7 linked regions of the Macaca mulatta genome follow. The main gene of each other region encodes a partner of the protein of the gene in region 2 in a complex. Links are inferred from orthologs where the notes say so. Each region holds a gene or a part of one and is shown on either strand. Other genes may lie near its edges.

Region 1 (3,854 bases), about 32 Mb from region 2:
GCCAGTAAGTTCTTTCCTTTTTGTTTTGTCTCACTGTCACCTAGGCTGGAGTGCAGAGGCGCAATCCTAGCTCACTACAGCCTTGACTTTCTGAGCTCTAGAGACCCTCCGCCTCAGCCTCCCAAGTAGCTGAAACTATCGGCATGAGCTGCCACACCAGTTAATGGTTTTTTAATTTTTAGACATGGGGTTCAACTATTGTTCAACTATTTCACCCAAGCTAGTCTCAAACTATTGGCCTCAACCAATTCTCCCACCTAACCCTCCCAAGTGCTGGGATTACGGGTGTGAGTCACTCAACCAGGTGCACAAATGAATTTAGTGCTGCCCTGGAAACCCCCCGCCTCAAAAGTAAAAATCAGACCAGCTTGTGTGACAAACTGTCACAGCTGCCCAGGAGTCAACACACTGGATATTTTAATGGTTGGTTTGCATTCTACTAAATGCATCTGACGCTATTCCCTAGGAAAAGTCTCTGGGTATCAGGTGTCAGCAGCACATGAAAGATCTTAAGCTGGATTTTTTTCTTCAGGGACGTCAATTTTTTGCTGAGATCTGAAACAGAATTGTGTACTTGGTCCCAAAATGGAGTTTGTTTGGATGCATGCTTTAAAAAAAAATTTCAACAAATTGCAAAAATGCAGAAGGTCTTACACAAAAACATGAATTCCCAGTTGCTGTTGAATAAACAGGAGTTCATGCAGCACTAGACTCGCCGTCCCAACCACCTGTCAGCCTCCACGTGCCCCCGCCACACCTACCAGCCGTAGGTTCTTCACCACCACCTCGTTGGCCAGCTCCTGCTCCTTGAGCTCCACCTTCAGTGCCCGCATGTCCTTGCGCAGCACACCCTCCTGTGTGCGGTGCTCCTTCTGTGCCAGCTTCATGACTACGGTGCCCTCAGCCTTCATCTCAGTCAGGTTGTTCTGGTGCTCATACAGCAGGTGCTTCACTTTCTGCTTGTACACCTGCAGGGCAAAGGGAGTACCACCTGCTCACCTGCACCACACCTATACCACACCTCCTCACCTGTCCATACCTGTACACACCAGTCACCTGTACCACATCTGTACACCTCCTCACCTGCACATTCCTGTACATACCTGGTCACCTGAACCACACCTGTACCTCGCCTCCTCACCTGTACATACCTGTACACTCCCACTCACCTGCACTGCACCGGTACCACACCTCCTCACCTGTCCATACCTGTACACACCTGTTCACCTCTACCACACCTCCTCACCTGCACATTCCTGTACACACCTGGTCACCTGTACCACACCTGTACCACACCTCCTCACCTGCACATTCCTGTACACACCTGGTCACCTGTACCACACCTCCTCACCTGTCCGTACCTGTACAGACCTGGTCACCTGCACCACACCTGTACCACACCTCCTCACCTGCACATTCCTGTACACACCTGGTCACCTGCACCACACCTGTACCACACCTCCTCACCTGCACATTCTTGTACACACCTGGTCACCTGCACCACACCTGCACCACACCTCTTCACCTGTCTGTACCCGTACACACCTGGTCACTTGTATACCTCCTCACCTGTCCCTTCCTGTATATACCTGGTCCCCTGCACCACACCTGTACCACACCTCCTCACCTGTCCGTACCTGTACAGACCTGCTCACCTGCACCACACCTGTACCACACCTCCTCACCTGCACATTCCTGTACACACCTGGTCACCTGCACCACACCTGTACCACACCTCCTCACCTGCACATTCTTGTACACACCTGGTCACCTGCACCACACCTGTACCACACCTCCTCACCTGCACATTCTTGTACACACCTGGTCACCTGCACCACACCTGCACCACACCTCTTCACCTGTCTGTACCCGTACACACCTGGTCACTTGTATACCTCCTCACCTGTCCCTTCCTGTATATACCTGGTCCCCTGCACCACACCTGTACCACACCTCCTCACCTGTCCGTACCTGTACAGACCTGGTCACCTGCACCACACCTGTACCACACCTGTACCACACCTCCTCACCTGCACATTCTTGTACACACCTGGTCACCTGTACACCTCACCTGTACCTTCCTGTACAGACCTGGTCACCTGCACCACACCTGTACCACACCTCCTCACCTGTCATACCTGTAGACACCTGCTCGCCTACACACACCTCATCTGCACATATCTGCCCCTCTTGCTCACCTCCCCACGCCTCACCTGCACACACCTCCTCACCTGCACACACCTCAACACTTGCATCCACCTGCTCACTTGCATGCCTCCTCACCTGTACACAGCTACACATGCCTGTTCACCTATGCAAACCTGTACACTTGAGGCACAGAGTAGGACACCAAGGCTGGGAGGTGAGGTGCATCCCCAGCTCATGGGGTGCTAAGTGGCAGAGCTGAGTTGCAAACAGGCCAGTCTGCCCCCAGAGCCCATACTCCCTCCAGGTTGTGGAAACTGCATTTTAAACCCTCAGGACCTGCAGGTTTTCTCCCTCAGCCTTTTATAAAAAACACTTTTAGGGCTGTGACTCCTAAAGCCAAGAACAGAAAATGTCCCACCTGCACCCTCACTGGGTCCAGCTCCTCTGCAGCTGTGTGGTGACCACGTGGCCACAGGCAGGCTGGCCCCACTCACCTTGATCTCCACCTGGTGCCTCTCCTCAGCTTCTTCCATCTCCCGGTCTTTGTTCCGCAGCTCAGCCTTCTTCTCCTCCAGCTGCCTCCGTGTGATCTCCCAGAAGGTGTGGATCTTGTCCCGCTCCAGCTGGAAGTAGTTTCGCTCCTCCCGCTCGCGGTCCAGCTCCTCCCGGATGCGGCTGACATGCTCCTCCACCTGGCCAGGTGCAGTGGGTCAGGTGAGGCACTGAGCAGGGGCCCATGCACGGCAAAGGGGCGTGTGGCCGAAGAAAGGCAAAGAAGAAAGAGGGAGGACTCAATTTCACCTAAAAATAAACAGCTGAACGTAAAAAGTTAAAATATAAGGCTAGGAAGCTCCAGAGACAGAATACATTCAGCAAATGGAAGAATTCTCTTCAATTTGACCAATAATCATAAAATAACTATATCCTTTCATCCATTCCTGAGAATTTATGCCTAAGAAATTTCTCAAAAGAAATATAAGAACATCTTGCTCAAAGATATTACCCACACCATTATTACAACAGCAAAAATATCGAAAAGGAAATAATCTAAGACCAGTTTAAACAGGGAAATGAGCGAGGCACAGTGGCTCTCGCCTGTAACCCCAGCACTCTGGGAGGCCGAGGTGGAAGGATCCCTTGAGCCCAAGAGTCTAAGACCAGCTTGGGCAACATAGCAAGTCCTCATCTCTGCAAAATTTTTTTTGAATTCACCAAGCATGATGGCACCTATAGTCTCAGCTACTGGGAAAGCTGAGGGGGGAGAGTCATTTAAGCTCAGGAGGCTGAGGCTGCAGTTAATTACGATCATGCCACTACACTCAAGCCTGGGTGACAGAGTGAGATTCTGTCTCAAAAAATACACAAACAGCCAGGCATGGTGGCTCCCGCCACTCTGGGAGGCCAAAGTGGGAGGATCTTTTGAGACCCAGAGTTGACCAGCCCAGGCAACATGGCAAAACCCCGTCACTACAAAAAAAAAAAAAAAAAAAAAAAAAATTAGCCAGGAGTGGTGGCACGTGCCTATAGTCCCAGCTACTCAGAAGACTGAGATAGGAGGATTGCTTGAACCTGGGAGGTCGAGGCTGCAGTGAGCCATGATCACATCACTGCACTCCACCTGGGTGACAGAGCAGGACCCTGTCTCTAAAAAAATAAATAAATAAATATGGAAATGGTTGGCAAATTAGAACATATCAACTAGGAGA
Region 2 (3,854 bases):
TGCCCTGAGTCTGGCTGAACTTCCTTTTCCCAGACCATGCCTGGCATCCCATTGAAGGAAATAATGTACACAGTGATCAGTTTCCAAGGAAAAGTGCCTTGAATCTGCTTAGGTCAGCAAACTACCAAAAATAAAAACCCAGAATATACTAGGCCCCTGCTTGAATAGCCAATGCCTGTTTGTCAGCCTCCTCCTTACCGCCTTAGCTGCCCTCACTCAAACCAAAAAAGTTTAGCCTAAGATAAAAGTTTACTAGTTTGCTAAATAGCTGGCTTTGTCTCGCTCTGTCGGAGTCTCACTCTGTCCGAGTCTCGCTCTGTCGCCCAGGCTGGAATGCAGTGGCCGGATCTCAGCTCACTGCAAGCTCCGCCTCCTGGGTTTACGCCATTCTCCTGCCTCAGCCTCCCAAGTAGCTGTTCTTATCAGCTTGCCCAGTTACCTAGGTCGTAAGTCAAATACTTAAAGAGCCCCTGAGCTAACTAGGATTGCAATGCATTGCGGGTTGCAACAAAATGCCGCAAAACCACCCTAGAAAAAACACCTAAAGCCCCTGCCTAACAATCAATAGGCGATGTCTGGGAAGATTGTGGCCCCATAGTACTTAGCCTGTGAAGAACCAGGGGAGGGACCTGCGCACTAGGGGATAAATTGCCTGTTAAAACTGTGCTGGGTGTGTCTGCCTATCAGACACCCAATCTTGCGAGACCATCATTCAAAGTCTCACTTTCACTGTTCTCCAGGTCTCTATGTCCATTTTTTTTTTTTTTTTTTTTTTTTTTTTTTTTTTTGAGATGGGAGTTTTGCTCTTGTCACTCAGGCTGGAGTGCAATGGCGCCAGCCATCTCGGCTCACTGCAACCTCCGCTTCCCAGGTTCAAGTGATTATCCTGCCTCAGCCTCCCCAGTAGCTAGGATTACAGGCACACGCCACCACATCCCGCTAATTGTTGTATTTGTAATAGAGACGAGGTTTCACCATGTTGGTCAGGCTGGTCTCGAACTCCTGACCTTGTGATCCACCCACCTTGCCACGCCCGGCCTCTAACTCCATTCTTTGGGTTTGGATGGGTGAGTTTGTTTCTCACACCATCTTAGTCCTAGTGGGCTCAGGCATGCAGCCTGTGAGTGGCGCTTACCGGCTTGAGGGGGTCAGGCAGGGGCACCATGGTGAGGAAGTCAGAGACAAACTGGGCACAGCTGTCCCAGTTGTAGAGCTCGGGGTAGGGCATCAGTGTGGGCCGGAGGGTTGTGCTCACGAACTTCTGCAAGGAAAGAGATGGTGCCAGTGGGGTCATGGCAGTAAAAACCTCTGAGATCCAGTGTTGGGGCCTTCTCCGAATCCACAGGGGGACCCTAGAGGCCCGAGCAAATGCAGGAGGCCAGGCCCACATGCCCTGGGGTGGCAGAGCAGCCCTTGGCTGGGAAGGTGACGCCCAGATCTGGTGCATGGCAGCCATCAGTGGCGCAGTGGCAATGACTGGGAGGCCCCCATCACGTTGCCAGCACCTGGAGACAGCACAAGCATATTCTGGATCTGGACTTTGAAGAGCTTTGAAGTTTTGCCGCCTTCAACCCCTAGGGCATCATGGAGACACCTGAGGCCCAGAGCGGGCTTGAGAGCTGCCTGAGGTGACCCAGCAAGTCAGGGCTGAATGAGAAGATCAGGTCTGTTTCCTGGGGTTCCTGGGAGCGCTGTGCTCTCCTCCCAAGAGCGATGCTCTCCCTGGGGCCTACAGAGGTTCTGGGCTGGGGCCAGCTGGTGGCCAGTACAGTCTGAAGCCTCAGAGGTCAGCCTGTCCAGCGAAGGACAGAGAAATAAGACAAACTGGACCAGAACAGGCATAAGAACCTAAGCTCTGGCTTCTTCCTTCCAGCCCTGTGACCCAGAGCATGTGTCTGAGCCTTTCTGGGCCTCAGTTTCTCCATCTGTAGATGGAATGACATGGGATTCATCCAGAGGGTGGGAAACAGCTGCCCATTGGCTGACAGGGACACACAGACCCGCTTTATTTGGCCCATGTGACGATGTTTAGCATTTATGTCAGCTGCCAGCATTTAAAAATCAGAGACTCCCACACAAATCCCCAGTTTCCTCTTAATCAGGTAGCCCCACACCTGTAGTTTCCCTGCAGCAATCAGCAGCTGCCTCTTTAGGCGAGGCATGGGGTCTCCAGGCCACCACCACCCTCCAGGGTACTCTGCACTGAGCCTGCTGAGGCCTGCTGGCATTGGAGTTTATGTTTCCCCCAGACTAGAAGCACTCCAGTCCACAGGAGGTCTGTGATTTGGCCCAGTGCCCTTGGAGAACCCACCCCACTTCCCTGTGCCCTCTGCTCTCCAGCCCCAGGCTCCCTGGCCCTGCCCTCAACATGCCAGCCTTACAGGCACTTCGCACTCGTTCAGGGGGTGCAGGAAGAGGGGCACGCGATCCGGGCACAGATGGCTGTACTGGCGGGAAAAGTTGTCTGCCACCTGCAGCAGGTGCTCCTCCTTGGGTGTGTTGGTTTTGTAGGAAACAGGCAGCTTGGAGATGTCAATAGTGTCCTTGGTAAAGGCCCTGTGCCACAAGAGGGACGGCATTAGGGAAGCCATGCCTGGTACTCAGGAGCCCTGGTTCCACTGAGTTGCCATTGGCTCTATCCCTTCCTCATTTAATCCTCACAGCTACTGAGAAAGCAGGTATCATTAACATCTGCTTATTTATTTATTATTTATTTATTTATTTATTTATATTTAAGAGACAGGTCTTGCTCTGTTGCTCAGGCTGGAGTGCGGTAGCACAGTCATAGCTCACTGCAGCCTTGAACTCCTGGGCTTAAGTGACCCTCCCACCTCAGCCTCCCAAGTAGCTGGGACTAGAGGCACCACCACACCTGGCTAATTTTTGTATTTTTTGTCGAGATAGATGGGGGTCTCGCTATGTTGCCCGGGCTCGTCTCGAACTCCTGGTCTCAAGCGATCCTCCCACCTCTTCCTTCTAAAGTGCTGGGACTACAGATGTGAGCCACAGCGCCCGGCCAGCACCTGCACTTTTAGACAGATAAAGGCACTGAGGCACCGAGAGGCTGAGTGACTTGCCCAAGGTCACACAGCTAGTCGGGGGAGCGTGGACACTCGGCCCAGGCCATTTGAAAGCAGAAAGCCTTCACTCTTAACTGGTCACCCTGCCAGACCAGTCGCCACCACTCTGCCTGGGTCTCCCTGTGCCCAGCCCCGGTCTGCCCTTGCCAGGGCCCCCACACTGCCACACTCACGGGAGCTCCGCTGAGATGGGGATCTGGATCTCCGACAGCTTCTTCTCCAGGTCTCTGAGCATCTCCTGTGTCAAGGTGGTTTCCTCCTTCCGCACCTCAACTGGCCTCATCATTTTCTCGGTCCTCGCCCATTCAGCCCGCTTGGCCGCCTCCTCCCGCTCTGCCTCCTCCTCCTCCTCCACCTTCTCCCTCAGGACCTCCATTCTGGAGCGTCTCTGGCTGTCTGGAGACAGAATGTCTCTGTGGGGAAGGGGAAGTATACGCCATGGCTGACTGTCAGACCAGGCAGGAGCCACCAACACCACTGGGGCATCCCTGGGAGGCCTGGGAGATGGTTTTGGGGAGGTGTAGAGCACATAGGAAGGCAGTGATTCCCTCTTTGACTTCCTTTCAAACATGGAGAAGGTCTCTGTTTGGTGCTACCCCATCTGTAACACCTTTCTAATCCTGGCAAATATTCCTTTACAACAAAGACAAAGCAGGCCTCCGGCTGGAAGCCATCATCAGGACAGGACAGGGCAGGACACATGTCAATTTGCTTTAAGTATATTTGACAGTTATCCTTTTTTAAATTTTTTATGTTTTTGAGACAAGGTCTCAC
Region 3 (4,291 bases), on a different chromosome or scaffold from region 2:
AACAGTCCTTCCCCCGCACCCCCCCCCCCCAACGAGGGTTATTGATGTCTAAAGCACAGGTAGTTTTTTAAATTAACAGATCTTTAAATTGCACTGAAAATGTCAACAAGAAACTGGGAGTTTGCCCCCTAATCCCTTTTGCAGTTTTGAAACATGTATGGGTTCTCTTGTCTATGCCGCAAAAGAATTAACATGCTGGAAATGTATTAGGGAAAGAGGGTGAAAGAAAGGACTGCGTGGGAAGAGCACATTGGCTGTTGTGTTATTTGGTCTTTCATCTCCTGGAGGCAGGACTGAGAAGGAAAATGTAGTAAGGGAAAAGAGTAGGAATACTGTCCCAGCTTTTCCGCTTCCCCTTCCTCTAGTAACCATCCTGTTACAAATCTGCTAACCTACTAAGAGAGTAATGAGATATACTGACGCAAGAGAAAACAAGAAGTCCTCTCCCAGAGGTCCCTCTGTCACATCGGCAGTCGTAAGAAAGGTTCGGTCAGTCCAATGGTGGAATGTAGGCCAAAGTTGCCATTGTTGGAGTCCCATGTTTCATGGACAGGGGCTTTTATTATTAATGCTCTGCCAGGCTCATTTATTAGGATTGTGGTTTTAAGGCAAACAAAGTGCATTGATGCTGTATTCACCAGAAGTAAGCCATACTTTTTCATGGTCAAAAGTTGGAAGTTGTATATTAGAATGCTGATGAAATTGAACTTGGGAATTACGCAGTCAGCGGGAGGAAGTGCTGATCTTGGACACCCACTCCAAAAGGCCAATATAAGCTAAAAGTACCTATTGTGTTCATTGTGCCAGTTAAATAGATGTGATCAGTACTCTTGGGGTATTTAGGGATAGAGGCATGTGGGTATCCTGACATAACATAAAACTATAAAGTGTAGAAGAAATACGGAGGCATCTCAGGAAATGGCAGGAAGATTTTAGGAATACAAGTAGCTGACTGGAAAGTCCAGAAAACTCAGAAATGCCACATAAGACGTCTCTTGTACTGAGGATCTTAAGATTGTTCTTGTGTGTAGTAACAATGTCACTGAAGAACTTGATTCACAGGAAATTTTAAAATTTACTCATTTGAGACAGGGTTTCTGTTGCCCAGCCTGCAGTGGTGTGATCATAGTTCACTGCACCCTTGAACTTCTGGGCTCAGGCAATCCTCTGCCCACAACCTCCAGAGAATCTGGGACTACATGTGCATGCCACCCACATCCAGTTAATTAAATTTTTTTTTCGGGGTCCCAGGCTGGTCTCTTAATTCCTGGCCTCAAGTGATCCCCCTGCCTTGTTCTCCTAAAGTACTGGGATTACAGGTGTGAGCCACCATGTCCAGCTCAGATTAACATTTTACATCCCAGTGGCAGCCCAGTATAAACAAGGGAAAATCAGGTGGGCTTTTCAGTCTCAAATGGCTAACGTTCTAACATGTTTCTGGCTATGGGGGCTGGATGGGTAATGGTGCATTTGCAAAGCTGGGGAACCAGGGGATGGTTTTGTGGGAGGAGCAAAAGTTGAATTTGAGGAGGCGGTAAGATGTTAATCGACATATCCATGAAGACTGATGGGTATTTCAGGTCTGGTTTAGGCATATGGAGAAGTGAATGGTATTCTGAGTAGAATAGATGAAAGGAATGGAGGTGCTTACACAGTAAGTGGTAGGCATCTGAGCAAAGCGGGGAAAACAAAAGGTTGAGACTTTAGGGTAACTCGAGTAACTTATATGTGCAATGGCAAATGAGACTCGAGCAAATACATGCTCTTCCTTACCGAGATGATGCAGCATTTGTAAATAATAAATTTATAATTTTTTCTGCTCCCATACCGAAATTAAGTCAAAAGTACTTAAGTCACCGTTGCCAAAGTCCCGTGGTTTACAGGAAAGGGCTTGCGTGGCTGGTATTTTGTTCACTATGCCATTGAAACAGCTTTGGCTCATGGCTGTAATCCCAAACACTTTGGGAGGCGGAGGCGGGCGGATCACCTGAGGTCATGAAGTTGAGACCAGCCTGGCCAACGTGGTGAAACTACGTCTCTACTAAAAACACAAAAAGTCGGGAGTGGTGGCGGGCGCCTGTAATCCCGGCTACTCGGGAGGCGGAGGCAGGAGAATCGCTTGAACCCGGGAAGCAGAGGTTGCAGTGAGCCGAGATTGCGCCACTGCACTCCAGCCTGGGCGACAAGTGAAAGTCAGTCTCAAAAATAAAAAAAAAGAAACAGCCTTTCCTCAGCGTAACACTATTGTAACAGCCAGGAGCTTAGGATGACTGGTTCCACTCTTTATTCACAACAGCAGTTTATTTGTGGTACTGTAATGGAAAGGGCACGTTTCCTAAGTTACAAATGTGGTTTGGAATCCCACCTTCCACTAGTTGTGGGATGATACACACATTATTTAGTGACTATTCACTTGTAAAATGGTAATACTTAAGACACCACCCCATCCTCATATCTGAGTCCGTAATCTCCACCCAGTCTGTAACTTGAAGTTTTCCTTCTTTCCTACCCCTTCATTTCCCAGTATAGTAGTTTACCTATTCAATTCCCGTTGCATGACTTCCAGCTCAGTGTCTGAGTTCGTACTTTTACTTCTTAGTGTCATGAGCCACTGGAATTTGTCCCAATTTCCCATTTTGTGTAGTTCCTCACGGCTCCCAGGATCTCCCTTATCTCAGGTGCAGTGGCAATTCTTGGTTGGAAACTAAAAGATGGAGTTGAGTAAAATAGTAAAGTGTGTATCATTGATTTTTACAGGAAATGGCTTTAGTCAAGTAAAGCGCCTAAAGTTGGTGACTCAGGATAAGTAAATGAAAGTATTCCACTCACCTTTTCCTACAGAGGACTACACTGAAAGATTCTGCAGAGGGTTGAATGTCCGTCCAAACACCTGGCACCTAGTAGGTGCATATCACTTTGGTAAACGAAAGAACTGGAAAACTGCCTCAGACACCCACACACGGCCAACGCCCGCGCGCCCTTCTTCCTCCCACAGCCCCACTCACGTGGGCCTCCAAACGGCATTTATTGGCCGGCCTCGCGCAACGAGACGCGATGGACGTGATCGCCGCCCTCATCTTCTGCCGCGAACTTCCAGCGGGTGACGCTGTCCAATCGGAAAGCACCTTTCCGCCGGCGGGGGCCTCCGTCTGCCCCGAGCGGCGAGGGGCGGGGCCGGCGCGGGCGCAGAGGCGTCACGCGCTCCATGGTAACGACGCTCGGCCCGAAGATGGCGGCCGAGTGGGGAGGAGGAGCGGGTTACTCAGGCTCAGGCCCGGGCCGGAGCCGGTGGCGCTGGAGCGGGTCTATGTGGGTCCGAAGCGTTTTACTCCTGTTGGGCGGGCTCCGGGCCAGCGCCACATCTACTCCCGTCTCCTTGGGCAGTTCCCCTCCCTGCCGGCACCACGTCCCCTCTGACACTGAGGTAGGGCGACAGGGGCGGGAGCGGGCCCTGTCAGGGTAAAGTCGTCCAGAAGGAGCAGGCGTAGGAGGTAGTGACTGGGAGAAGGTGTCCTGGATGAGAAAGCGAAATCGGGGCAGAGCCTGAACTCTTACAGGCCTGGGACCCGCTCTCAGCTCCCTACACCCTGCAAGTTGGCTGTTAGGCGCTCAGAACAGTATCACTTCGGTGCGGAGGGTTGTGCTTAGCAGTAGCCCTGGAGGAGTGCTTTTCAAACTTGAGCGTGCATCACAGTCACCCGACGCACACGGTCCAACACAGATTGCCGCCCCCAGTCCCCCACTTAGTGACTCAGTGGGTCTGGGATGAGTCCCCAGATTGACAGTTTACGTTCCCAGCTGGTTGGTGATGTATGCTTGTCCGGGGACCACTTTAGGAACCGCTGACCTGAAGTTTCGGGAAGATACTGAACGGAGAGCCAGACAGAGGCGTTGGGGGGATGTTGGGGGCTCACTGGAGACAAACTTCAGGTTTCTTTTCACGTTGTGTCGTCACTCTGTTTGCTTTACCCGATTCCTCTGCTCTGGAAGTGCCTGCCGGCCTCCCGTCCCATTTTTCTCCCTGCTTAAATACTTTGTCTCATTTCAAGTTCCCCAACCTCAAGGCAGCCTGCCGAAACTCCCACAGCGGAATGTTCTTTTCATTAAAAAGTACATCGTATCTGTACTCCCTCCTAGCATTTAACCAAGTACTGCTATGTGGTAATGGCTTATTTTTTTTAGGCGTATCTTGCCTTTGCAGTTAAATTGTAAGGTTCCGTGGGATGAGGTTTGTGTTTCATACTTTGATTCCTTCACAGTATTTAGGTCAGAGGTGGGTCCACGATAATCC
Region 4 (4,544 bases), on a different chromosome or scaffold from region 2:
CTAATCCTTCCCCAAAGGGGCCTAGGGTCATCTACTCAGGTGGGCTGTACGATAAGGAAAGAGGATACCCAGAAATGTTTAGGATTAGAACAGGATCTGAGTTAGCATTGACACGCAGAGACCCGAAGCATGCTCTCACCCACTTAGAGTGAGGACATACGGGAGGCAAAGTCCTACTTACAGAGGGTCTACCAGGTCTCTGGACTCAGCCAGTCATCATGTCTCTAATGGCCAAAAGTAGAATTGGGACTGACATACTTAGAAGTTTGAAAAACTCCACTCCTTGGCCTACAAATAGACCTGTCATAGTGGGGAAGGCCAAAAGTACATCTCTGAAACTGCACCTGAGTACACAGAAAACAACATTGCCGCCCAGGGCGGTTGGTGGGCATTAGTGTCACCCTGAAGTATCTCAACGATGCAGGAGTGGTGATCCCTATTGAATCTCCTTTTAATTCATGGATCTGGCACCTGCAGAAACTGGATCCTAGAAAACGACTGTCAATTACCGGAAGCTGCACAGGTAGCACTCCTGAACACAGCATCTACGCAAGTGTGGTAAGCTTCGCTAGAGCAAATTTGTACAGCCTCAGGCACAGTATGTGTGGCTACTGATTGGGTCAAATGCATGCTTTTCTACATCAGGAAAAAGAATCAGGAAGTTCACATTTACATGGAACAGACAATGATATACACTCACAAGTCTGTCACACTCACAGGACCATGGTAATTCTCCTGATCTCTGTCATAATATATTCTGAATACATCAGGGACATCTGGATATCCCAGAGAACATCACAATGATCCATTACTTCAGCACTGGCAAACTATGGCCTGTGGGCCAGATCCAGTCCACCACGTGCTTTTTTATGGCTTCCAGGCAAATAATGATTCTGACAATTTTTTTTTTTTTTTGAGATAGAGTCTCGCTCTGTTGCCCAGGCTGGAGTACAATGGCACGATCTCAGCTCACTGCAACCTCTGCCTCTTGGGTTCAAGCGATTCTCCTGCCTCAGTCTCCTGAGTAGCTGGGATTACAGGTGTACGCCACCATCCCTGGCTAATTTTTGTATTTTTAATAGCGACAGGGTTTCGCCATGTTGGTCAGGCTGGTCTCAAACTCCTGACCTCATGATCCCGCCCGCCTCAGCCTCCCGAAGTGTTGGGATTACAGGTATGAGCCACTGCGCCCGGCCCATTTTTTTTTTTTTTTTTTTTTTTTTTTTTTGAGACGGAGTTTTGCACTTGTCACCCAGGCTGGAGTGCAGTGGCACTATCTCAGTTCACTGCAACCTCCACCTCCCAGGTTCGAGCAATTCTCCTGCCTCAGGCTCCCAAGTAACTGAGATTACAGGTGCCTGCCACCACACCCAACTAATTTTTGTATTTTTAGTACAGACGGGGTTTCACCATGTTGGCCAGGCTGGCCTTGAACTCCTGACCTTAGGTGATCCTCCTGCCTTGGCCTCCCAAAGTGCTGGGATTACAGGCACAAGCTACAATTTTTTACAATTTTAAATGGTTAAAAAATATATAAATGAATGGTTAAAAAAGACTAGGATGAATAAGTAGAGCACAGGGGATTTTTAGGGCAGTGAAAATATTTGGTGTAATACCATATTGGTGGGCTCATGTCACTATAAATTTATTCAAACCCATAGGCTATACAACACCAAAAAGAAACCCTAAGGTAAACGATGGAGTTCAAGTGATAACGATGCGCCAAGGTTCATATATTGTTACAAATGTGCCTTCCAGTGCAGGATGTTGACAGTGGCTGTGCACGTGTGGTGGCAGGGAGTATATGGGAATGCTGTACTTTTGACCAATTTTGCTGTGATCCTAAAAACTGCTCTAAAAAATAAAGTTTATTATTATTTTTAATCAAAAGAAGGCTATTTTGTGATACATGAACAGTATATGAAATTCAAATTTCAGTGTCCATAAATAAAGCTTTATTGGAACACAGTCATGCCCATTTGTTTATGTCTTGCCTGTGGCTGCTTTTGCACTACAATGGCAGTTGAGCAGCTAGGAAAGACGCCATATGATCCCAAAAGCCTAAAATATTTACTATCTGGCCCTTTACTGAAAGGGTTTGCCAGCCCCTGCATTCCACTGATGGCCCTGCAGCAATCAGCCAGGATGAGCGAGTGATGGAAACACACTGCAGGGCTTGGTAAGACATGTGTGCTCCAGACGTTGGCAATCAACCCTATGAAGGCCCAGGGACTGCATGTCATTCAAGTTTGTAGGGGTCCAGTGGTCAGTGGCACACTGGGATAGCCTATCAAGTAAAAAACAAATCTACTGCGTTTTGCATCCTCTACAGAGAAGGAAACTCAATGCCTCTTAGACCACTTTGGGTCCTAGTACATCCCGCATTAGGAATACTATTCAGGCTGACACAAAAAGCTGCCAGCTTTGAGTGGTGCCTGGAACAGGAAAGGACCCAGGCCACAGTGTAAGCAGCCAGGCTACTTGGGCCACATGATCCAGCAGACCCTACGGTTTGGGGGTGTACGTAGTGGAAAAGATGCCATGTGCAGACCACAGTCGCGGGCCACCAGGCCCGATTAATATTTTGGTGTTTTATAGAGATGCGGTCTCTCTATGCTGCCCAGACTGATCATCTCGAACTCCTGGGCTCAAGTGATCCTCCCGCCTCGGCCTCCCTGAATGCTGGGATGACAGGCGCGCGTCGCGGCACCGGCCCAGCGTTTTACTTTCCCATACTCTGCATGAACCTTCCGGAAGAAATGTTTCTATTTCATCAGGAAACCAGCCCTGCTCCGGCCCCTGCTGCGCGATCCCGCCCCGCCCGCCCAGCGCTCACCGCCTCCGGGCTTCTAGGCGCGCCGCGATGCGGAGGCGCCGGGCCTGGATGCGCTCCTGAGGGTTGTCGGAGTGGACCGAGGGCGCGAGAATCTGGGTGGACAAGTGCTCGTCCAGGTTCGGGTCCAGGCCCGCTAGGGACCCCGGCGGATTCATGGCAGGAGTCCCCGGCACCTAGGCGGCTCCCTCCGCACCACCTCCAGACCGCAGGCTGGTTGCTAGCAACAAACCGTTGCCAGGGAGAGCGGTCACCGGTGCCACCGCCCGAGTGGTTGCGCGCGCAGCTCCCTGGGCCCAGCCCGCCGCCAGCCGCCATTCGGGCGGAGCATCCCAGCCTCGGGCTGACGCCTCTCCAGCCGGTGGCTTGTCAGGGCTGTTGTCAGCCCCACGAAGGCCCGGTCGTATTAGCGGAGCTGTGGAGTCTCACCAGGAGACTAGAGGACTAAAGAGCTGGACCAAGCTGTGGTTCATCACTTACTGACCTTGATGATTAATTCATCTTCCATTAATTCATCAAATATTCCTCCAACTCATAGTCACCAAATACAAATACAAATGTTTGTAAAAATACAAAACTTAGCTGGGTTTGGTGGTGGGCACCTGTAATCCCAGCTACTCGGGAGGCTGAGGCAGGAGAATCACTTGAATCTGGGAGGTGGATGTTGCAGTGAGCCGAGATCGAGCCACTGCACTCCATCCTGGGCAAGAGCAAGACTCTGTCTCAAACAAACCCAACCAACCAACCAACCAAATACTGGATACCATTTAACAGGGTTCTGTCCCATTAGCCCTTGGGGAATTAAGGGCACTGGATGAGCAGTGAGAAAGGGTGGGTACTAGTCCTAGCCCTGCCCTGCCACCTTGGGCAAGTCACAACTTCTTGAGGGCCATTTTCTCAGCTGTTAAATGGTGCAACCCACAGACAATTGTGGGGCCAAGAAGATCCACCCTTTGTGAGTAAGAACTGCCCAGAGGCAAATGGAGTGGGTTTTTAAAATCAGTTCTTCCAAGTTTGCAAGCAGTAGTAAGGTTTAGGAATGCCAAAACCATCCAACAGCTATAGAGTCTAACAGCAGCTGCCTGGATCCTTGCCTCACACCTGCCTAGGTGGTGGTGGTAGGAGGAGTGGGGGTAGTTGTTTCTAGGCTTCAGGGTCTTCTGCCAGATCTCTGTCTCCTTTGGTTGAAACCTAAAGCATTAAACTCTCCTAGGAGCCATGGTACAGCTCTGACCAAAAACTCACCCTGGTTCTGGTTCTTGTTTCCACTATCCATAAGGACAGAAACAAGTATGTGTGCATACGCATGTCTATGCCTGGGAGTAGGATACCATGAGAAAGTCAGTGGGAATCAGCTGTTGCACAAGAGATAAGTGAGAGCAAAGGTACCATACAAACCCATGAAAAGAGATCAGTGAGATACTTTGGCCCTACACTGTCCCGATACCACTTCCAACATCTTTTTAAATAAGAAATCTGACTCCATTTTTTGCTGCTGATATTTGGCCGCTGACAGCTTTTAAGCAGCACTCCCTCTTCTCCACATCTGGGCAAGCTGTTAAAAAAGCCTAGGTGTGGCCGGGCGCGGTGGTTCACGCCTGTAATCCCAGCACTTTGGGAGGCCGAGATGGGAGAATCACGAGGTCAGGAGATCGAGACCATCCTGGCTAACACGGTGAAACCCCCGTCTCTACTAAAAATACAAAAAATT
Region 5 (4,464 bases), on a different chromosome or scaffold from region 2:
GGTCAGGAGATCGAGTCCATCCTGGCTAACACGGTGAAACCCCATCTCTACTAAAAATACAAAAAAATTAGCGGGGCGTGGTGGTGGATGCCTGCAGTCGCAGCATGAACCCGGGAGGTGGAGCTTGCAGTGAGCCGAGATCGTGCCACTGCACTCCAGCCTGGGCAACAGAGCGAGACTCTGTCTCAAAACAAAAACAAAAACAAAACAAACAAACAAAAAACCTAAAGAAACGGTCTGCAGGTCCCCTAATCCAAAAGGAGAAAAGCCCTGAAGTGTCTGCTGTTTTCACTCTAACCAGTATGGTGCCCAGAGATCCAAGTGGCAGATAGATGGCAAGCCTCAGGATAGCACAGAGCTGCAGGGAGAGTGAAGGCTGCCTGACAAGGGAGGGCCACCCGTCATACTCTCTCCCCCACATTAATTATTCCAGCCACTCCTGGCTCCAGCAGGACACTAAGAAGTATCCCCAAAGGGAGTCACCCCCAATATTGCCCAGTAAATAATTTAAAAGCAAAAATGTGGGAAACTCAGGAGAAGGTCAAACAAGTCCACTAGAGGGAGCCCCAACCAACTCTATGCTGCAGGGAGCCTCACAAAGCAATGTCTCAACACCTGTCTGAAAATCAACCACACAAGGGAATGGGGAAATGTAGCAATAGATTAAGTAACTAGGAGAGAAGATAGCCATGTAAACACCTAGCTAAAACACAGGCTTTTCAAGAGCTACAAAATCAAACATTTAAAGATCAGGAAACTGATGCTGAGCAAAGTCAAATGGCTTGCCTCAGTTTACATATCCACAGTTGGGACTCAAACTCAAATGTCTTGTCTCTAACCTGAGCACTTTCCTGCACACTTGCATCCCTCTAGGTCAGTACCCTAGAGTCCATGGGTCTGCTGTTCCTTTGTGTCTCATTTCTCTGAAGTGGGAAACGCCCTCGACTACCTATTCCTGTACTTATTACCCTCATTCCACAGTGTACTGAAGAGGATCTTCAGTGGTTTGGGGTTTTTGTTTGTTTGTTTGTTTGTTTGTTTGAGACAGGGTCTCCCTCTGTCATCCAGGCTGGAGTGCAGTGGTGCAATCATAGCTCACTGCTGCCTCAACCTCCCAGGCTCAAGTGGTTCTCCTGCTTCAGCCTCCCGAGTAGCTGAGACTAACAGGTGTGCACCACCCTGCCAGGCTAATTTTTTAATTTTTTGTAGAAATGAGGTCTCACTGTGTTGTCCAGGCTGGTCTTGAACTCCTGGCCTCAAGTAATCCTCCTGCCTCAGCTTCTGAAAATGTTGGGATTATAGGCATGAGCCACCGCCCCCAGCTTAGATCTTCAGTTTTAAACCTACTAATGTCATTTTGCTGATGGGACCTCGGGATGTCAATTGTCCAACATGGCTACTGTCAGTCCTTTTCCTCTGTATCAGCACAACATATTATCTCAGATGTGTACATCTGAATTTGGAAGTCTCCAAATTGCAGGCCATGTCTACGTGGCAATGAATCATAACCAATCGGCCTCCAAAGCCCTTTCTTTTCAAACTATACTTAGGGTTTTGGGATAAGGAAAGAACTGACCCTTTGAGACCTTGATATTTTAAGCTTTGTGAGCTGATTTAGCCCATTCCACCTTCCTACGAACTCCATGTTTCCCAGTTGCCTGGACAACATACAGCCTCCCGAAACCCAACCTTCCAGCCCTCAGTCCTGCCCTCAAGAGAAATTTGTCACCAAGGATTGGCTCCCAGGACCCAGGCCCCGCCTCAGGCTCCTCGCTAGTTGGGCCTTCTCTCTGCCACTCCCCACGGGTGGGTCACTCCACAGGGAGCCCCAACACTGGCAGGAGAGGATCCTACAGGTAGGAAGAGGGGGTTGAGGATGATGGGAAGAGGGAGGGGAGCAGGTACAGGGATTTATCTAAAAGAGAGTTGTGAGGAGTGACTTCCGTACAGTCAGCCTGGTTGAGAGAAAAAACTTCACCCTCCCCGTTGACCCCAACCCTGCCTGAGGTTCCAAAGAGACTGTGAACTGACTTTTCTGAAGAGTATGAGATACAAATTTGGAGTAGAACCAGGAGACTCCCCTGAGACTCCTGATTCAGTCAGGAAAGCATCCCTGTGTCCAGACCTAAACATAAGGTCCCCTCCTTCTCCCAGGACAGCAAGGAGATGCCACTTAAAAACAAAGAAAAAGGGAAGAAATCTGGGGCGCAGAAGAAAAAGAACTGGGGTGAGTCATGGTGGGTGGAGGTGCCCCCTGCTTCTCCATGTTCTGGCATGAAGACCACGCAGAGCTCCTCCAGAGAGAATTCAGCCTTCTACATGACAGGATGGAACTCTCTTGACCTTCCTCTTTCGTGTCCTTGAAGTCAGATGCAGGGAGCTGAGGAAGTGGGGAAATGGTCACTCACGCTCTCCTTTAAGCACCATCTAGCTTTGTGCCTTCCTAATATATTTGTCATGTGTATTTTGCATATCTGTTATGTGCTGGTTGGTAAGGACACAGTGCTGACTTCAGTAGACTCTGCCACCATGGATCCCTCATTTAGTGGTCCTCAGGTCTCCTGTGGCAAAAGTGCAGGGTGTGGGGTGAGGACGCAAGGAGAGTGAGGAATGCTGAGATCACGAAGAGCTGAGGCTCTGCCACTTGCCACAGCAGGTGCAGATGTGGAGGCTGAGTCCAGGCACAGGCTGGTGGTGCTGGAGAAGGAGCTGCTCCGAGATCACTTGGGTAAGGAGGGTAGAAGTTGGCATGGGGGTGGGCAACAGGGCAAGTGAAATGGGGCATTTCTGTATCCTGGGGGATTGGAGAGTTGGAGATACAGTGGGGGGCTAAGTTGAACCCTAACCATCCCCTAGTGGAAAAAGACAATGAGAGAGGGGTGGGCAGTGAGAGTTGATAAAGGAAGCTTTTTTTTTTTTTTTAGACAGAATCTTGCTCTATTGCCCAGGCTGGACTGCAGTGGTGTGATCATAGCTCACTGTAATCTCAAACTCCTGGACCCCAACAATCTTCCCACCTCAGCTTCACGAGTAGCTGGTGCACACCACCCTACCTAGCTACTTTATTTATTTATTTATTTTTCTTTTTTAAAATTTATTTTATTTTATTATTTCATTTTATTTTATTTTACTATCTTTTTTTTTTAAGACAGAGTCCTGTGCTCTGTTGCCCAGGCTGGAGTGCAGTGGCGTGATCTTGGCTCACTGCAACCTCTGCCTCCCAGGCTCAAGTGATTCCCCTGCCTCGGCCTCCCAAGTAGCTGGGATTACAGGCACACAGCCACCACGCCCGGCTAATTTTTGTATTCTTATTAGAGACAGGTTTTCACCATGTTGGCCAAGCTGGTCTCGAACTCTTGACCTCATGATCCTCCCACCTTGGCCTCCCAAAGTGCTGGGATTACAGGCATGAGCCACTGCGCCTGGCCCTATTTATTTTTCTTATAGAGACAAGGTCTCACTCTGTTGCCCAGGCAGGTCTCAAACTCCTGGCCTCAAGCAATTCTCCCACCTAAGCCTCCCAAAATATTGGGATTACAGGCATGAGCCACCATGCCGGGCTATCCGGAAAGCTATTTTGTATAGGCAGAACATGGAGAGAGTCTTTACTTCTTAATAATGAGGAGCCTGTGAGACTCTAGGGATAAAAAACAAAAACAACAAAACCCAGAGAGAGAATAAGAGGCTGGACGCCCCGCCACCAGATTTCTAGAGACGGGCAAAATTCATCAAGTTCATGGGGGCTGATTTAGCGGGCCCCAGCCAGTCCTGACAGTGGCTCTGGGACTGCTCACAGCTCTACGGAGGGATGAAGCCCGTCGAGCCAAGGCTTCCGAAGACCAGCTGAAGCAGAGGCTGCAAAGGGTGGAGGCTGAGCTGGAAGGGGCCCGAAGTGAAGGGAAGGCCATATATGCAGGTGTGTGGTCTGTTGAGCAGGTGGGCAGGAGACAGGGGCCTGGAGGAAGACAACCAGCAGGGTCAGATGATGCAAGGAAGGGAAACAAGGAGGGCTTCCAACTGCCAGGCCTGGTCTTGGTCTTCCCCGAACAGTACAAATCAGGCAGGATCCTGCAGGAATCAAAGGCAGGTAGGTTCCTGGGATCCCAGGCAGGGGCCTGCCAGGATGCCTGGTGCCATGTGCTTGATGCTGTGTAGGATACGCATGCAGTCATAGCCATCACCTCAACCATCCTATGGGAGGGGAGAAGGACTAGCATCCCCATCCAAAGCTGGACGGTGGGGGAGGTGGGTTGGGCTTCCTTTCCCTTCCTCAGGTTTTCATGGTCTCTAGCTTCTCAGAATCACAAAAAGAACCAAGAAGACCATGGGCCGGGAGTGGTGGCTCACACCTGTAATCCCAGCACTTTGGGAGGCCGAGGCGGGCGGATCACGAGGTCAGGAGATCGAGACCATCCTGGCTAACATGGTGAAACTCCGTCTCTACTAAAAATGCAAAAAATTAGC
Region 6 (4,433 bases), on a different chromosome or scaffold from region 2:
GCCTCATGTGATCTGCCTGCCTCGGCCTCCCAAAGTGCTGGGATTACAGGTGTGAGTCACTGCACTGGGCCAGGAGAAGTCCATTCTTAAACACTTAATTTTTAACAAACCTTTCCAAATATTATTTATGATTATCTTTTTCTTTTTTTCTGAGGTCTCACTCTGTTGCCCAGGCTGGAGTGCAGTGGCATGATCATAGCTCACTGAAGCCTTAAACTCCTGGCCTCAGGCATTCTCCTGCCTCAGCCTCCTGAGTTGCTGGAATTACAGACAGGCACCACCATGCCTGCTCTAATTTTTTAATTTTTTATAGAGGTGGGTCTTACAAATTCATCAGGTCTCGAACTCCTGGCCTCAAGTTGTCCTTCTGCCTTGGCCTCCCAAAGTGCTGCGATTATAGGCATGAACCACTGTGCCCAGCCTCCTTTTCATTAATATGCCATTTCTTTAGAGTTCTGTTTTTAACTTCTTTATTTATGAAACAAAAGTCAGCTTTGTAGGGTATCTCAAAGTCTCCTTTTAGTTCACCCTTCATGAAATGAGAATGTATACAAGTCTGAAAGATACTTACACATTGGTATATTTGGTATGGTTGGGGTGTGTTATACTATTAAGTAGAGGAAACTGTGTGGCAGTGAGGCAATTTTTATAATCTTTTTTCACCTTCATGCAATTACATAAACATTTTCATGACTAAAAATAAATTAGCCAATCACAGCCAGAAAAGTCATAAGCATAATAGCAGTCAACTATATTTAAACTATTAATGGAATTGTACATATTTGGATCACATTGTTAAGCCCCAGACAAAAAGAAAAAGCTGAAATATTTTACTCTCTTGGACACAGACCTATGAATATGAAATGTTTAAGGGCTAAAGACCTAACTAATATCTTTGATATTTTGAGTACTTTGCACTGAGAACTTAAAAGATTTCTCTACCTGTATACCTTACTTCTTGGTTCCTTTCATAGCTCACTTTTTCTACTCCTTTTTTTCATTTATGTAGCTGTAAAATTTGTCTCCCTGGAATGAATGAATGTGTCTTCTGTTCTTGTTTAAGAGAGGATGTTACTCAAAGAGCTTTGGAGCAAGCTCTGAATGTAAAGCAACCTGCTAGGTTTCTGGAGAATACGTAACAGGGTGTGTTTCTTACCGGGGTCTTCCCAGGGCAGGTGTCATTCCTTTAGAAAGCAATTGCCTCTTTTATAAGTTCCTCCAGTTGTGTGCATGGGCACTTAGGAATCAGATTTTTGAAAACATCTTTAATGCAGCTGCCAGAAATTTCCAAATTTAGGTTAAAACCGTACTCTTATGTCATCTTATGTCTCTTGGCTATGGTTCTAAAACTTCCCATTGAAATGATTCTGTTGCCTGTGTGCCCACTCCTAAGAACCTTTCCACAGCTAAGTAATATTACCTTATTTCAAAAACTTTGCAAATCAACCTCAGTGGGGGAGAATTACTAAAAGCATTTAGCTAATACAGGGTAACCTATAATAATACTTTGTACAATCTTTTTAAAACTTTTCAAAGTAACGATGCTTTAAGTTTTTAATCCTTGTTTGAAACTTGTGGAATACAAAAAGAGAACTCCACGTGAGAGATAAGTAATTGAGGAAATAGGTTAAAAGGCTGATCTGATATTGCTGACATAGCTTGTTTGCAGCAGTCAGAACAGAGTTGTGCTTTCTCTTGGACTGTGTCAACATCAGTGTTACATAATATCAAATAATGGTAAAAACCCACAGATGTGCTGGCTTCAGCAGCACATATACTAAAACCCACAGATTAAAGCTGATTAAAAACTAATATGTAGATATGCAATTAATAACCCATACTTCCTAGCATAAAATTGAGGGAGCATCTTTTTTGGCATAGCATAGTTTAAGAATTCCTCCATTGTGCAAATTTGATTAAAGAAATATCTTTCTGAGACATTGCAGGGACATTCTTTCTATTCAGATAGTTCTAGTTTCTATTTAATTTGCCCCTGACTAAGTCAAATATTGAGATAAGTCCAGAGTTAATTGGTGGCATTTAGTTCTCTTTTGTTGTTAAATGTCTGGAAACCACAGGAAAGCCACATTTCCTTTGAAAATATTAATATATGTCTGTATTCTTTATAAAACTTTATAAAGCACCACAGATCCTTAAAGTTATGGCCCTGGCTCAAACTCTTAGTTTGACATATGGCCATCTCTGCTTTCTTTTTCCTTTCTAGAGAAAAATTTCTTAATTTCTTATAAAAAAAAAATCTCATCTCTCAGGGTTGTTTCATATAACTTTACATTTTATATCTCATCAAAAAACTATTGGTTTGATTAAATTTAGGCAGAAATTTTATGTAGTCAGTACTTGATTTGGCTTCTTTTTTTTGTTTGTTTTTTGTTTTGTTTTTGAGACAGAGTCTTGCTCTTTCGCCCAGGCTGGAGTGTAGTGGCGTGATCTAGGCTCACTGCAACTTCCGCCTCTCAGGTTCAAGCGAGTCCTCTGCCTCAGCCACCCGAGTAGCTGGGATTACAGGCGCTCACCACCACAGCCAGCTAATTTTTGTAGTTTTAGTGGAGATGGAGTTTTACCATGTTGGCCAGGCTGGTCTCGAACTCCTGACCTTATGATCCACCTGCCTCGGCCTCCCAAAGTGCTAGGATTACAGGCATGAGCCACTGCTCCCGGCCTGGCTTCTTTTTTAAATCATGATTATTTAGACAGAAGAACTACTGATGTATTTGGAAATATTTGTAGTTGGAATAAGAATCAGAAGATGGTTTGTTGCTTGTTTACATTGTTATTGAGATTCAGCTAGTGAACATACTTGCAACAAATGGAGAAAACTTGTCAAGTTCTTGATTTGTTGTTTTTCCTGCTTGAGGCTGAAGGTCACGCTGCTTGCTCTTCACTGCTGTATGTTGACTTTTCCACTGTTAATTCTGAGGCTCCTTTAGATGGTGTTACATTGTCAAGCTCTGTAAGAGGGTCTCCTTCCCTATCATAGCCAAACCAACGTGGAGGGTCATTAGAGTTGTATTCCTGCTGCTGAACTTTAGATGACATTCTCTGAGCTGCCTTCCTGTAATAACAGTGCTTAGCATTAGCTAGTTGCAGAAGTAATCCCTAGTGCAGAATTTTCAAACTCAACCAAATTTGGAGTTAGAGAATTCACTGTCACAATTTGAATTCACATCAGACCTCTCTTGCCTTGCTGAGAGTGAGGAGATGGGTAAATGTACAAATAAAGAGGGTCCCAAAGCCTCAGTAGCTCTGATTCAACCACTTCAGAAATTAACAGATACAGTGAATGGGTAAGGAAACTACACATGGCCATGGAAGAGGAACACTGAGGCCTCTATTTATTTACACTGCTTTGAGTAAGCCCCTTCCTTGGTATTTCTAGTTTCTCTGATGAGGGAGTAACCTAACCACCCTACCTGTGAAGGCTGACCATGCACCAGGCCAGGAGCTCTTAACCCAGAGTTCACAGATCCCTTTCACAGATCCCTTTTGACTACATGGATGAACTTCAGGGAGGTCCATGTACTCCCTGAAAGTTCATGCAGTTTTGTCTATAATACACATTTTTATGAGGTTTGTGACTCAAAGGTGTCCATGACCAAAGTGATTAAAAAATACTGTTATAGTCTTTCTTAGGAGGAAATAAGAAAGTAAAGAAGGCATCAGAAAAAAAGTATGTCTAACTTGAAAACAAAGCCATTGTGAGGACAGAAGGAAGAATTTCCTTTCCTAGAAAGTTGGTTTGAATCACGAGATTAGTACTAAAAAGGAGATGAGCAATTGACCACTTCTGTAGGATTAGAAATTAGTAACTGTGATGTTTACCCATGAAGGCACTACCTTCTCCACTCTTGCTGTATGTTACATTGAGTTATTAATTGCAAAAGTCTGGAAACTGAGTCATTGATATGGAGCTGGCATTACCATACACTTTGAGTTAAGTTTGTGCTGAATGGCGATATGAGTTCAGGTAAGGCAATGAAATAGGAAGAAAAAACCCCAACAACACAGAGATAGCAGTTTAAATTGCTGTTACAGTTAAGTTGAACTTTAGATGTATTAAAATAATTGTAACCAAACTCAACAGGGAGATAACCAAAGCATTGCTAATTCTGCCTCTAAGCACATTGCTTTTTAACTGATATATCTGCTCTCACACAAAACTTCTACATACTTAAAGAACAAATTGAGTAAAAGCAATGATCATATACTAATTTCTAGTTTGAAGCCACCAATCCCTATGGACTAAAACTTGGCAAACAAGTTTATTCTCTTCAGAGAAATATTTATTCTCAGTTTTGAAAATGATAAGTTTATTGTCAAAGATAATGTTTTGCATTCTGTTAATTTTTTTATCTTTTTTAAAGGTGCTATCCTGCATTTTAAACCTCTTATGTAATCTTTATATATCCTCATCG
Region 7 (4,377 bases), on a different chromosome or scaffold from region 2:
AACTTGGGAGTGAGGGGATTGCTGGTGGGTGGAGTCGGGGGATTATGTGGCTCAAAATGTCAATTGAGCTGCTGTTGAAAAATCCTATCTTAGCTAATATCCCCACTTTACGAATGAGGAAATTGAATCTTGGAGTGGTTAACTTGCCTCTTATAAGTTTCAACCCAGGTAGTTTGAATCAGGGAACCTTCCTGCTTAACCATGACCCTATATACACCTACGACTAGAACCAGTACCCTGATTTGAATTCAAACACGTCATTTGTCCAGCGAGACAAAAATGAGGTCCAGAGAGGGGAAGAGACTTGCCCAAGGTCACACAGTGCAGGAGCGGGGCTAGAACCCGGGACTCCTGAGTCCTGGTCCAGTGTTCCCTCCGCGGGCTTTGCTTCTGCCTCTACAGAGGACCCAAATGGCCAGCCCTGGGGAAAGGGCCTAGGGGAAGAGGGCCAGCTGCCATGCCGCTGTCCGCTCGGGCAGCCTGACCCGGGCACGAGACTCCTGCGGGGTCACCTGAGGGCGCCAGGGAGAAGAGCGAGGGAGGGAGCAAGAAGGAGGCAGGAGCGCTGGCTCCAGCTCCGCGTGCTCCCAGCCCCTGGCTGGGTGCCCACGTGAGGGTCGCCCCAAGAAGTCGGGGGCAAGGAGAGAGGGTGCAAAGCCCCGGCCCGGGCTGGACGGAGAGAAGCGCGGCGGAGACTTCCCCGCGCCCTCTCTGGGCCCATTCAGTCCACCTCCCACACCAGAGTGTCGCGCCGCAACCCCTTACTCCGCGCCCTCTGACCCTGATCCCTGCCCTCTCCCTCTGGCCAAGTCCTCGCATCCCTCGGATTCTTACACGCGCCGCCCCAGCAACCCGGACCGCGCGCCGGGGTCCGCACCACGCAGCCCAGCCCGCCGGCGCCGCCGCCAAAACCCCGAGCCCGAAGCTGTTGCAGCCGCCGCAGCCGCCGCCACTTCAGCCACCGCCACCAGGGTAGCTGCGCCAGCTCTCCCATCCGCCGCCTACCGTCCTCTCAACCCCGCTCGCCCCGCCCCATTTCCCCTTCACAGCGTCCTACTGGCTAACTGGGCTACCATGATGAGCTCTGATTGGTCAATTCTCACGTCTTTCCGCAGGTCTCGCCCGCAGCCGAGGCAGTACTCCCTGCCCGCCTCCTTAAGAAGGGGCGGGACGAAGAATCCACGCCCCTTTCTCCTCCCATCTTCCCCGCCTTAATCGTTGAGTCCAACCCAGAGGGAGTCCCAAGTCTTTCCATTGGTGCAAGGTCAAAATGGCGGTGCTTCTGATTGGTCAGACTTCAGGAGGTGGGGACAATTGAGCGGAACAAGAAATTGAATGGTGAAAAGAAAGGTCAGTCAGACACAGAGTCCCGCCTTCTGAGATTGGCGGGTAACCTCGCAACGCTGGGACTGCGGCGGTAACTGTGGCTAGGGAAACCTGGAGCCGTCAGAGCGGGTGAGTAACCAGGTGGGAAAGGGTCGCGGATCGGGGGAGATGTGGAATGGGGTTCAGCCCGATGTCCTTTGGCTCCCTGAGAAATTGGTAGCCCCCGCTGCGATCCCGTCTCAGCTTCAGGACCCCGTCCCTCAGCCCCTGCCTCAGTCTGGACCTCTGGCTCCACAGCCTGCAGGGAGCCGGCCTCCATTCTTCCCCTTCTACCTGCCCACTTCATGGCCCCACTCCCTCATCCCTAAAACGACGAGGACACCAGTCAAGCAGAGTCACATCGTAGTTAACTTATTTCAAGTCAAACATGGGAGCTGTGGGTGGGAGGGGGGTTTATAAGTCCCCTCCCATTCCACCCAACGACCATACGTTCCTCGGTGAGCGGGCCATCTCACTTAAGTGTTTAAATTAGGTAGTTTTTGTTTGTTTTTGTTGTTGTTGTTTTTGCCTAGCGCGGTGACTCACGCCTGTAATCCCAGTACTTTGGGAGGCCAAGGCGGGCAGATCACTAAAGATCAGGAGTTCTAGACCAGCCTGGCCAATATAGTGAAACCTCATCTCTACTGAAAATACAAAAATTAGCTGGGCATGGTGGTGCACCTGTAATCCCAGCTACTCGGGAGGCTAAGGCACGAGAATCACTTGAACCCGGGAGACCGAGGTTGCAGTAAGCCAAGATCGCGCCATTGCACTCCATCCTCGGCAACAGAGCAGGACTCTGTCCCAAATAAATAAATAAATTAGGTAATTTTTATTATACCACTTTGGCCTTTGTCCTAACTTTGGAATTTATTTCCCATCTCCGTCCTTAAAATGTAATCTCTTTGTACCTACTAAAGATAGAGAGTTTCTTGTGATGATTAAATGAGGCTGAGGGCTGGGCACAGTGGCTCAATCTGCAATCCCAACAATTTGGGAGGCCGAGCGGCGGATCACCTGAGGCCAGGAGTTTGAGACCAGCCTGGCCAACATGGTGAAACCCTGTCTCTACTAAAAATACAAAAATTAGCTGGGCATGGTGGTGCATGCCTGTGATCCCATCTACTCGGGAGGCTGAGGCAGGAGAATTTCTTGAACCCGGGTGGTGGAGGTTGCAGTGAGCCGAGATGGTGCCACTGCACTCCCGCGGGGGTGATAGAGCGAGGCTCCATCTCAATAAATAAATAAATAAATAAATAAGGCTGAGGTGGAAGAATCGCTTGAACTCAAGAGGCGGAGGTTGCAGTGAGCCATGATTGCACTGCTGCACTCCAGCCTGGGCCACAGAGTGAAAAACCCTGTCTCAAAAAAATATATAAAAAAGAAAAACTTTGAGGTTCAAAAGATATTTTCGTAAGAAAATGAAAAGATCAGCCACAGACACAGACATGGAGGAAATATTTGCAAATCTCATGTGTCTTATAATAGACTTGTATGTAGAAAATAAAAATAACTCTTATAACTCAAGAGGACAACTCCATTTTTTTAATGGGCAAAAGAGTTGAGTAGACATTTAAAAATCAAAAAGACAATCCCAAATATCATCATGTAGATAAATAAACAAACTAGCTTTCATATATTGCTGGTAGGTACAGCAGAATACCAATTGGTACCACCAATCTGAAATATAGTTGGCAGTTTCTTAAAAAGTTAAACATAGGCCAGGCACAGTGGCTCATGCCTGTAATCCCAGCACTGTGGGAGGCACAGGCAGGTGGATCACCTGAGGTCAGGAGTTCGAGACCAGCCTGGCCAACATAGCAAAACCCCGTCTCTACTAAAAATACAAAAATTAGCAGGGCATGCTGGCGGGCCCCTGTATTCCCAGCTACTTGGGAGGCTGAGGCAGGAGAATCACTTGAACCTAGGAGGCGGAGGTTGCAGTGAGCCGAGATCATGCCACTGCATTCCAGCCTGGGCAATAGAGTGAGACTCTGTCTCAAAAAAAAAAAAAAAAAGCAAATGAGTATTTCATTATTTTGATCTGAGCTTTACGATTTTTCTTTTCTTTTTTTTTTGAGATGGAGTTTTGTGTTGTTGCCCAGGTTGGAGTGCAGTGGCACGAGAATTGCTTGAATCTGGAAGGTGGAGGTTGCAGTGAGCTGAGATCACGCCACTGTACTCCAGCCTGGGCAACAGAGCGAGACTCAGTCTCAAAAACAAAACAACTACAACAAAAAAATGTGAGTGGAAACAGAGATCGTTTGCAGATTAGCTCATGGGAATTTGGTGGAGTGATAGAAATGTTCTAAAACAGGATTGTATCTAAAACTGATGTGGCAACTTTAGATACATTTACAAAAATAGTAATTGAGTTTTATACTTACAATGGGTGAATTTTATGGTAATGTAAATTACACCTCAATAGAGCTGTAAAAAAAAAAATTACACGCGTGGTTAGTACCATGCAGGAAAGGTGAGAGAATTTCCACAGGTTGTAAAGTGCTGTGTGTTCCTGTCTGAGAAGGGGTAGCCATTGAGCTAAGACCTAAAGAATGAGAAATTGTTAATCCAGGGAGAAATTGTTCATGGGGGAGTTGGTTTCTGACATAAAGTAACATTATACGTTAGTGCCTGAGAGCAGGAGGGGTTTGAGATAGGCTGTTTTTTGTTTGTTTTGTTTTTGAGACAGAGCCCCTCTCTGTTGCCCAGGCTGGAATGCAGTGGTGCAATCTCAGCTCACTGCAACCTACGCCTCTCGGGTCCAAGCAATTCTCCTGCCTCAGCCTACCAGGTAGCTGGGATTACAGGTGCCCGCCATCATGCGCTGCTAATTTTTGTATTTTTAGTAGAGACGGGGTTTCACCATGTTGGCCAGGCTTGGTCTCGAACCCTTTTTTTTTTTTTTTTTTGAGACGGAGTCTTGCTCTGTCGCCCAGGCTGGAGTACAATGGCGCAATCTTGGCTCACTGCAAGCTCCACCTCCCGGGTTCACGCCATTCTCCTGCCTCA

The links.
Region 1: DRC7 (region 2) and GAS8 share a complex: the UniProt entries of both Homo sapiens proteins name them as parts of the nexin-dynein regulatory complex. The link is inferred for Macaca mulatta from reciprocal best matches to the Homo sapiens genes DRC7 and DRC4.
Region 3: DRC7 (region 2) and IQCG share a complex: the UniProt entries of both Homo sapiens proteins name them as parts of the nexin-dynein regulatory complex. The link is inferred for Macaca mulatta from reciprocal best matches to the Homo sapiens genes DRC7 and DRC9.
Region 4: DRC7 (region 2) and DRC1 share a complex: the UniProt entries of both Homo sapiens proteins name them as parts of the nexin-dynein regulatory complex. The link is inferred for Macaca mulatta from reciprocal best matches to the Homo sapiens genes DRC7 and DRC1.
Region 5: DRC7 (region 2) and DRC12 share a complex: the UniProt entries of both Homo sapiens proteins name them as parts of the nexin-dynein regulatory complex. The link is inferred for Macaca mulatta from reciprocal best matches to the Homo sapiens genes DRC7 and DRC12.
Region 6: DRC7 (region 2) and FBXL13 share a complex: the UniProt entries of both Homo sapiens proteins name them as parts of the nexin-dynein regulatory complex. The link is inferred for Macaca mulatta from reciprocal best matches to the Homo sapiens genes DRC7 and FBXL13.
Region 7: DRC7 (region 2) and IQCD share a complex: the UniProt entries of both Homo sapiens proteins name them as parts of the nexin-dynein regulatory complex. The link is inferred for Macaca mulatta from reciprocal best matches to the Homo sapiens genes DRC7 and DRC10.

What each region holds. Positions count from the first base shown.
Region 1 is NC_133425.1:85,492,311-85,496,164, reverse strand, and holds part of GAS8 (dynein regulatory complex subunit 4), read right to left. Parts: intron 3,793-3,854; exon of another isoform or gene 3,718-3,792; intron 2,964-3,717; exon of another isoform or gene 2,841-2,963; coding exon 2,643-2,840; intron 969-2,642; coding exon 762-968; intron 1-761. UniProt on the Homo sapiens protein: Component of the nexin-dynein regulatory complex (N-DRC), a key regulator of ciliary/flagellar motility which maintains the alignment and integrity of the distal axoneme and regulates microtubule sliding in motile axonemes.
Region 2 is NC_133425.1:53,308,555-53,312,408, reverse strand, and holds part of DRC7 (dynein regulatory complex subunit 7), read right to left. Parts: intron 3,494-3,854; 5' UTR 3,457-3,493; coding exon 3,254-3,456; intron 2,557-3,253; coding exon 2,382-2,556; intron 1,262-2,381; coding exon 1,136-1,261; intron 1-1,135. UniProt on the Homo sapiens protein: Component of the nexin-dynein regulatory complex (N-DRC) a key regulator of ciliary/flagellar motility which maintains the alignment and integrity of the distal axoneme and regulates microtubule sliding in motile axonemes.
Region 3 is NC_133407.1:975,669-979,959, reverse strand, and holds the start of IQCG (dynein regulatory complex protein 9), read right to left. Parts: upstream 3,086-4,291; 5' UTR 2,830-3,085; intron 2,705-2,829; 5' UTR 2,538-2,704; intron 1-2,537. Other genes in the region: LMLN (leishmanolysin-like peptidase), read left to right, coding at 3,206-3,424. UniProt on the Homo sapiens protein: Component of the nexin-dynein regulatory complex (N-DRC), a key regulator of ciliary/flagellar motility which maintains the alignment and integrity of the distal axoneme and regulates microtubule sliding in motile axonemes.
Region 4 is NC_133418.1:98,605,800-98,610,343, forward strand, and holds the start of DRC1 (dynein regulatory complex protein 1), read right to left. Parts: upstream 3,062-4,544; 5' UTR 2,992-3,061; coding exon 2,837-2,991; intron 1-2,836. UniProt on the Homo sapiens protein: Component of the nexin-dynein regulatory complex (N-DRC) a key regulator of ciliary/flagellar motility which maintains the alignment and integrity of the distal axoneme and regulates microtubule sliding in motile axonemes.
Region 5 is NC_133419.1:119,883,194-119,887,657, reverse strand, and holds the start of DRC12 (dynein regulatory complex protein 12), read left to right. Parts: upstream 1-1,598; 5' UTR 1,599-1,643; coding exon 1,644-1,856; intron 1,857-2,154; coding exon 2,155-2,227; intron 2,228-2,653; coding exon 2,654-2,728; intron 2,729-3,796; coding exon 3,797-3,916; intron 3,917-4,464. UniProt on the Homo sapiens protein: Component of the nexin-dynein regulatory complex (N-DRC), a key regulator of ciliary/flagellar motility which maintains the alignment and integrity of the distal axoneme and regulates microtubule sliding in motile axonemes.
Region 6 is NC_133408.1:142,504,902-142,509,334, forward strand, and holds the end of FBXL13 (F-box and leucine-rich repeat protein 13), read right to left. Parts: intron 3,074-4,433; coding exon 2,884-3,073; 3' UTR 730-2,883; downstream 1-729. UniProt on the Homo sapiens protein: Substrate-recognition component of the SCF (SKP1-CUL1-F-box protein)-type E3 ubiquitin ligase complex.
Region 7 is NC_133416.1:120,462,288-120,466,664, reverse strand, and holds the start of IQCD (dynein regulatory complex protein 10), read left to right. Parts: upstream 1-1,343; 5' UTR 1,344-1,455; intron 1,456-4,377. UniProt on the Homo sapiens protein: Component of the nexin-dynein regulatory complex (N-DRC), a key regulator of ciliary/flagellar motility which maintains the alignment and integrity of the distal axoneme and regulates microtubule sliding in motile axonemes.